2 linked regions of the Macaca mulatta genome follow. The protein of the gene in region 1 interacts with the protein of each later gene in a pairwise test. Links are inferred from orthologs where the notes say so. Each region holds a gene or a part of one and is shown on either strand. Other genes may lie near its edges.

Region 1 (4,338 bases):
TCTGCCCACCTCATCGCATGACACTGAGAAAACTCCTTTCCCTTCTTGGCTTCAATTACCTTGACCGCAGAATGGGGCCAACATCTCCTGAAGAGGTTGTGAGATTTAAATTTAATACATATGAAAGCGCTTTGCAAACTGTCCAGTGGGCCCTATGAAGGTCAGGATGGTAGAAGAGGACAGTATGAATGGCGGGGCTTCCAGAGAGACTACCTAGGGTTGCGCAGGTTTTTCACTGCACAAGGATGTCCAGCCTAGGGTGCCGAAATCCAGCCCATCCCATCCTCTGCTCCCCAAACCACGTACCCTGGCCTAGGACTGCCTGGGCTTGGTACCTTCCTCTAATATGCACAAATGTACCTTGAGGGCTAGCAGTGGCCCCTTAGACGTTCCTGGAGGGATCAACCCCTGGAATTATGGGAAATCTCTGAGAAACTGATTTGGGATGGAGGGGAAGTGGGGCTGGTTTTGCAGAGGTTCTTAGAGACAGGGCCTAGCCTCAGCAGTGAGGCACAACTTATTGCTAGGGGCAGCTATGGGGGCCTGGCCGGGTCAACGGGGTAGTCTCTCCTGGCCTTGCCTCTCCCTAGCAACCAAAGCAGGTAACCACCAAGACAGTATTTTAAAACCACTCAAGACACAGACCCAAGCCGGGTTTTATTGAAATGCCAGGAGCAGGCACATGTCAAAGTAGCCAAGGAAGGGGGGATGGTGGGACAGGCTGTGTGAGCTGGCAGGGATGCGCAGGCCTCATGTCCATGGTCCTGGCATCCCCTCTGCCAAAGGACAAGTAGGCACAACCACCCTCCCCCCAAAATGGCATGCTCAGGCCAGTGGGGCTCCTACCCCTAGACCATGAAGGCTCCAAGGAGAGGGGCTGGAAGTACTAAGTTTTCTCCCTTGTGAGGGGGAAGGAAAGAAGGGGAGATGCAGGAGGAAGGGGAGGTATAGCAGGGGATGAGCGTCCCAAGGAAGTCTCTCCTCTTAGGTGTCTGCACCCAACCCACGGTCCTGGGCAGTGGAGAGGAGCAGCATTACAAAGGGAGGCTGAAGGCTCATCCCTCAGACAACCGGATTCCCCCAGCCTGTGGGGCTTGCATCAGCCCTGAACAGAGGGCAGAAGTTCAAGGGGACTGAAGATGCAGGTAGTTCCCAAGTGACCTAGTAGTCCCCAGAGTTGGGGGGCTTGTCCTTCATGGGACAAGGAGGAAGACAGGAGGATCCATCCCCAGCATGGAGTGGGGAGAGGGCAGTCTCCCCAGTTTGGCCCCTCTAGGTCAGTTCCACGTTGTTGGCACGGTCAAGCACTCGGGAGCCACGGGCACTGCCCCCAAGCTGGAAACGACTCTCATAGAGAGTGGGGCAGAGGTGCCAGCGGTTGGCCCGGTAGATGCCCAGGTAGGTGTAGACATCAGGCTTGTAGGTGAGCAGGCACTTAATACCTGCTGCACGGATGGCTGAATCTGCCTCCAGTACACCCAAGCGGTCCGTGAAGTCGTCCGTGTAAACACAGATGACCTGGCGCCCACCCTCCTTGGCCCGTGGGCTCACCTTGGCCACCTGAAGCCGGCCTTCAACCACAGCCCGGGCAATGCCAGCCCAGGCATGGTCCAGCTTAAAGCCTGGTGCCAGATGCATAAGCCACTTGCCTGAGAGCACGTGGTGGGTGATGGCGAGCTGGCGCAGGGTGCCCGGTGTGATGGGCCGCCCACTGGTCTGCAGAGCTTCCCAGGCTGCCTGCAGGCCCTGCACATCCCCGGAGTTGGGGCTGTAGCCCTGCCCATACACTGCAATCCAGCCCACAGGCTCTGAGTTGGGTGAACCGGGGTCCCCATAGCGGGTAACTTGGGATGGTGGGTACTTGGCCAGCCAGGCATCCAGCTCAGTGGCAGGTGTCGTGTGGGCATCAAACACTAGCCAGGGGTCCATGTCAGCTGCCATAGCCTCTGCAGCCAGGTGCTCAGCAGTGAAGCCATCCTCACGGCCACCTGGAGAGTCCTCCTCTTCCAGCTCCTCACCTGGTTCCATCCTGCTGTGAGGGAACCGAGTCAGGGCAGGGTCTGAGACAATAACTACAGGTGCCAGGCACTGGATTAAACTGTGGCCTTGGGTAAGAGTTATTGTCGATGCGCCTCAGTTGCCTCATCTTTACAATGGGATAACAACTGTTCCTGTCCTGTAGATCCGCTGTGAAAATTAGATGCCTGAGGAGTGAGCGCTCCAGAAGGGTTGCTGCAGTTATTACTATTCTCCTTGACTTACAGACAAGGAAACTGAGGCTCAGAGAGAAAGGACTTGCCCAAGGTCACCTGTAGTGCGTGGCAGGGCCAAAGGGTGAATCCAGGCGTGGGAGCAACCGGCCCCAGCTACACCTCCCGGCCCTGACAAGGCCCCCTTTTCCTGGCAGGTATCCGGAGCGCTGGCATTTAATAGAGGAAGGCAAAGAAGCGCACGTTCGCGCAGCTCCCAAGGCCGGCTCTGTAGGGCCAGGCCTCCCGAGAAGGCGTTATCGGGCCCACTTAAAGACGAGGACACTGAGGTCCAGAAAGGGCACAGGCCGTTCCGAAGCCAATGGGGCGGTGCCCGGAGTCGAACCTGGGCTTGCTAGAGCCTGCAGGAGCGCCAGGCTCCGGCCGTGCCGCGCCCGCCGCCATTAACGCCCACGGCCCGAGCGGTGCTCCCGCCCCGGCCCTGCCCTGCCCCTCCCGCCGCCCGCAGTCACCTCCGGCCTTCGCTGCGTTCGACGCCGGCCCAGCCCCGGGCCCGGTTCCGCTCCTGCCGGGGCTCCGTGCCACCGCCGCCGCGCCCCACCCCCGCCACGGCCGCCGCCGCCGCCGCCGCCATCTTAGCGCCGTGCCACCTCAACAACAACTTTATAGACAAGCGCAGCCACGGGGCGGAGCCGCCAGCCTCAGCGGCCGCAGCGGCCGCGCTGTGGGGCGGGGCCGGCAGGGGAAGGGGCGGGGCCGACGGGGAGGTGCTGACTCGGGGGGCGGGGCCATCGCGGGAACCCCGGGAGGGGCGGGCCGTGGGGGGCGGGGCCAACGTTCGCTCTTCTGGTCTTGGGGGCGGGCGGGAGCAGCGGTACAGACCGGGGAGGGATGCGCACGGCCCGGGAGGCTCCAAGAGGAGGGCACTAGGGCCCTGTGAGCGGCGTCTTAACCGGCGGCGCTAGGACTCCACGGGAAGCGGCGGGGGCGGAGCGGGCGGCACCAGGACCCGGGGGAACCGAGGCGGGCGGGCAGCGAGCAGGCCCGGGAGCCGGGAGGCTGCGGGCGGCGGCGCTGGACCCGACGCGGCGAGAGAGGCCCCGAGATGCCGAGCAAGAAGAAGAAGTACAACGCGCGGTTCCCGCCGGTGAGCACATGGCAGAGCCCGGCAGGGAGTGGGCCCGGCTCCCGGGAGGCTTGGGCCCAGTTCCCTCTGGAAAGGCAGGCGCGCCGCGGTGTTCGGGGGCCTGGACGCCCCGCCTCCTCCGTGCCCTCCCCGCGTCCGCGTCCTCCGCCCCCTTTCTCCGGGGATGCCCCTTCCTCCCCCGGCACCCCTTTAGGGGACGGAGGCGACGGGGTCTGAACTCTGCTCCCCCACCCGAAGGCGCGGATCAAGAAGATCATGCAGACGGACGAAGAGATTGGGAAGGTGGCGGCGGCGGTGCCTGTCATCATCTGTATCCTGCCGGGGGCGGGCCGGGTCGAGGGGCGTCGGGGAGGGAGGCAGCGGGTCGCCCTCCCCCGCCCTGGCGTTCTCCTTGACGCCCCTCAGCCCGGGCGCTTGAGCTCTTCCTAGAGTCGCTGTTGAAGAAGGCCTGCCAGGTGACCCAGTCCCGGAACGCCAAGACCATGACCACATCCCACCTGTGAGCGGCGAGGAGCAGGGAGGGGCCGGCGGGGCTGGCGCGGGGAGTTCACACACTGAGGGAGGCAGAGCTTGGATGGCGAGGGAGGTGGGCGGCGGCCGGGACACCAGCAAGGCCACAGACTGGCAGAGGAGGGGCTGGGCGTCCAGGCAGAGGGAGCCACTTAAGTAAAGGAGTGCAGGCCCGGGGGCGGAGATCAGCCCGAGCTCCAGTCTGACATCCGGAGCCCCTTGCTGCCACCCACTGAGGGTTTGGGTGTCTGGGCCCGTCTTGAGTGCCAGCCCCTCCTCACCTCTTCCAGGAAGCAGTGCATCGAGCTGGAGCAGCAGTTTGACTTCTTGAAGGACTTGGTGGCATCTGTTCCCGACATGCAGGGGGACGGGGAGGACAACCACATGGATGGGGACAAGGGCGCCCGCAGGTGGGGCCAGGGCCTGGCATACAGTGGGGAAGGCCAAGGCCACAGGGCTTGGGGGTGGCCA
Region 2 (3,810 bases), on another chromosome or scaffold:
ATCTGTTTCTTAATAGCTAGAGTTCTATGAGGATCCTATTTCTCGTTTCTAGGTCAGGGTTCCTTTCATTCTCTACTTTCTTGTTTTTTCTCCCTGCTATCTTCAAGAATTCCCAGAGTTCAGTGCAACTGTTCCTCTAGCAGTCACCATCAGAAAGACCAACTTTGTGTGATCTGTATGCATAAAATAAATACACGATAGAAATAGGAGAGAACTCTGTAGATGATTAGGATAGCAGAGTTACATGATGGTGGAGTAGATGAGAAGGCTTGAGTATTCCAGCCAAAGATGATGGCTTGGTTTACAAAGAAAATAAAGTCCTTGCATCATCTAAGAGTCAGCGAACATAAAGTGGTGAATAGCAGGTCATTTGGGAGAAGGAAATGAACCTTGATAACCTATTCCTTTACCACATGGGATTCTTAGAATTTCTGTTTTACATAAAACCACTATTCCCCCACCTCTAAATATGAATTTTTAAACAAATGCCATGACAGCACACCCCTGAAAAGGCCATGGGAGTATAGACTACTACTTTAACTCACGATATGATATCAAATTGCCTTTCCACCTCTTCCTAACATGCTGCTTTTACTTCCTTTTGCATCCCCACTTCCCAGTCCACTCATTCTTCAGCACTGGCTGTGGGATATAGTCCAAAGCAAGGGTTTTGTTTAGGCATCTCTAAGCCTGGGACTAGACAGATTACATTTTCCCACTTGGTAAGCACTAGCTCTTTTATTCAGTAACACAACTGTAACTTATACTAAGACTTTTAAAGTTGGGCAGACATAGATCTGGACACTGTTCTAGCATTATAATCTTGGACAAATAACTTAAATCTTTATTAGCTCAGTTTCTTCATCTTTAAAATGGTAATACCTTCAGCCTTAGAAGGTTCTATAAAGTATGAATCAGTATGTGCATCATAAGTGGTAATTATTGATATTGCATGAGGTCAGACCAGCTTCCTCTGATCACTCTTCCTCATGACTTGATCTCTTCGGATTATCTCCTCAAAGTTTTTTGGTTGCTGTATTTAAAATAAAAAGTCAGCTGGGGCCGAGAGTAGGGGCTCACACCTGTAATCCCAGCACTTTGGGAAGCCAAGGCAGGCGGATCACCTGAAGGTCAGGAGTTCGAGACCAGCCTGTCCAACATGGTGAAACCCCGTCTCCACCAAAAATACAAAAATTAGCCAGGTATGGTGGTGGGTGCCTATAATCCCAGCTACTTCGGAGGCTGAGGCAGAAGAATCCCTTGAACCTGGGAGGCAGAAGTTGCAGTGAGCTGAATCATGCCACTGAACTCTAGCCTGGGCAACAGAGCATGACTCTGTCTCAAAAAAAAAAAAAAGGCCAAGTGTGGTGGCTCATACCTGTAAACCCACCACTTTGGGATGCCAAGGCAGGCAGATCACTTGAGCCCAGGAATTTGAGACCAGCCTGGGCAACATGGCAAAAACCTGTCTCTACAAAAAATACAAAAATTAGTCATGGTGCGTGCCTGTAGTCCCAGTGACTCAGGAGCTGAGAGGTGGGAGGCTCACCTGAGCCCAGGAAATCAAGGCTGCAGTGAGCCATGATCGCCACTGCACTCCAGTCTGGGCGGCAGAGCGAGTACATTTGCCTGGATGCTGAATTGTTAGGCAGCTGAATTCTTTGGCATAGTTTATATCTGTAGCCTGCACTGGGCTCCAGGCAACTTTATACTGTAGGGCAGGGCTCAGCATACATGGTGGCCTTTTTTTGTGATCACAGCCACAACCATCTGTTTACATACTGTTTTTCGTTGCTTTCTCACTACAACAACAGAGTTGGTTAGACAGGATGACTTGCAAACCTAAAACATATACTATCTGGCCCTTTAGGAAAATGGTTTTTGATCTCTGATCTGGAAAAAGGAACCTATGAGGGAACCAGAATTGGAACAAAAAAAGGAGATGGGGTGTCAGGTTTATCTAAATTGTTTTTGCCTATGCCTGCCTAGTTGTTTACTGGCCGATTGAGTATGGGACAAAAATATTTTTGGCTGGTTGGCTCATATTGTGAACTTGAGAAGAAGATAGTCCTGTGAATATTATTAGCAACCCATAGTGCTTAAAATTTAGGTAATGGGATTGTAAATGACAGTTTTTTGTTCTTTTGTGTTTTTTTTTTTTTTTTAAATTTATAAATGCAGTTTAAAATTGTTCATCAGCTAATAAAGTATTGATGAGCTGTGACATTCTCATTTGGTTCCATGGTAGTATTTAACATTTGGAATTTCATTTAAGCTTTAAGGTGAAACTTCTGAGTACTAAAAATAGATATATATATATTTTAGGTAACATAACACATTTTTAGCAACTATATAAACTTTCTAGGATCATCAGCAGAGGACTGTTGTGAAATACTAGCCTTTAAACTTTGTACCTGTTTTACAGGCGATATGAAAGGGGAGGTCTATCCATTTGGCATCGTTGGGATGGCCAACAAAGGGGATTGCCTGCAGAAAGGGGAGAGCGTCAAGTTCCAATTGTGTGTCCTGGGCCAAAATGCACAAACTATGGCTTACAACATCACACCCCTGCGTAGGGCCACAGTGGAATGTGTGAAAGATCAGGTAAGTGCCAGCATCTCTGTATCTGAATTTGATCCTTCTATGAGTTGGTAACCAGAACCTTCAAATTTTTTCAGCCAAGGGGAAATCATCAACATTCATTCGTTTTTGTATTTCTACTTTACCTTTTTTCAGTCATTTGAGGTAGCTTAATAAAAACAGAAAACTACACAAAAAAGTGACTATATTAGCAATGAGAAAGTAAGATTGGTATTGGTAACTAACATTACGCAATGGGGAAAATAAGTTTGGGGTGAGATTTCCAGAATAGAAGGACTGTATGGTTTTGTACACTTTTGCTTAGAACTTCTTTTGCATATCACACAGACACAGAAACCGTGTTCGAAAGTACTTAAAAAATAAGCTTAGGGCAAACAGACTTAGTCTTACTACTGAGATCTCAGGGAAATCTGAGTCCTCATAATGTTTTTCGTCATCAGTACAGAGAATAACATTTTGTATGGCTGCTTCATATACTGCTATAACCCAGCTTAATTCTAGAGGGGATCCAAACAATATGTATGTTGAAGTAACAACTTCCTGATGAGTTTGCTTAAATCAAAAAGCTTAGTTCATAATGTATGAAGGAACAAGGCAACTTTTATTTGTTTGGTTCAAGTTTGTGATATAGTGAATGGCACTTTCAAAGATACATTTCTTCCCTGACAGGTTTTGCCACAGGCAGCTGGACTGGAGTATCAACATTAATATCATGTTTTATACATCCTTTTATATAGGGGCAGGCATTGTGCTTCACTCAGAGTGAGGTGTGGCATGTCCTCTCTTTTTTACCTACTTTTTTTTTTTTTTTCCCCCAGTTTGGCTTCATTAACTATGAAGTAGGAGATAGCAAGAAGCTCTTTTTCCACGTGAAAGAAGTTCAGGATGGCATTGAGCTACAGGCAGGAGATGAGGTGGAGTTCTCAGTGATTCTTAATCAGCGCACTGGCAAGTGCAGCGCCTGTAATGTTTGGCGAGTCTGGTGAGTTGTTGTTGTGGTTTGATTAGTAACTACCCTGGAGTGTCTCAACTTCTGTAGTCTCTGTTTTATCACATTTCTTTACTTTTCTGTGCCTTGTTTTTTCCCCTTTTGCCACTTTTTATTTACTTCCTCCTTCTAGTCTAATACAAAAAGATTGTGTAGTACATGTTTTTTAAAATTTTTGCCAAATTCCTTTCCTTCCATTAAGTCATTTCTAGGTTATATGC

What was found.
Region 2: the proteins of C14H11orf68 (region 1) and CSDE1 interact in a two-hybrid assay, tested with the Homo sapiens proteins (2 studies listed by BioGRID and IntAct). The link is inferred for Macaca mulatta from reciprocal best matches to the Homo sapiens genes C11orf68 and CSDE1.

What each region holds. Positions count from the first base shown.
Region 1 is NC_133419.1:8,501,970-8,506,307, reverse strand, and holds C14H11orf68 (UPF0696 protein C11orf68 homolog), read right to left. Parts: upstream 2,870-4,338; 5' UTR 2,845-2,869; coding exon 2,723-2,844; intron 2,033-2,722; coding exon 1,273-2,032; 3' UTR 621-1,272; downstream 1-620. Other genes in the region: DRAP1 (dr1-associated corepressor), read left to right, coding at 3,316-3,357, 3,595-3,667, 3,763-3,856, 4,158-4,277.
Region 2 is NC_133406.1:125,531,517-125,535,326, forward strand, and holds part of CSDE1 (cold shock domain-containing protein E1), read left to right. Parts: intron 1-2,425; coding exon 2,426-2,604; intron 2,605-3,419; coding exon 3,420-3,583; intron 3,584-3,810. UniProt on the Homo sapiens protein: RNA-binding protein involved in translationally coupled mRNA turnover.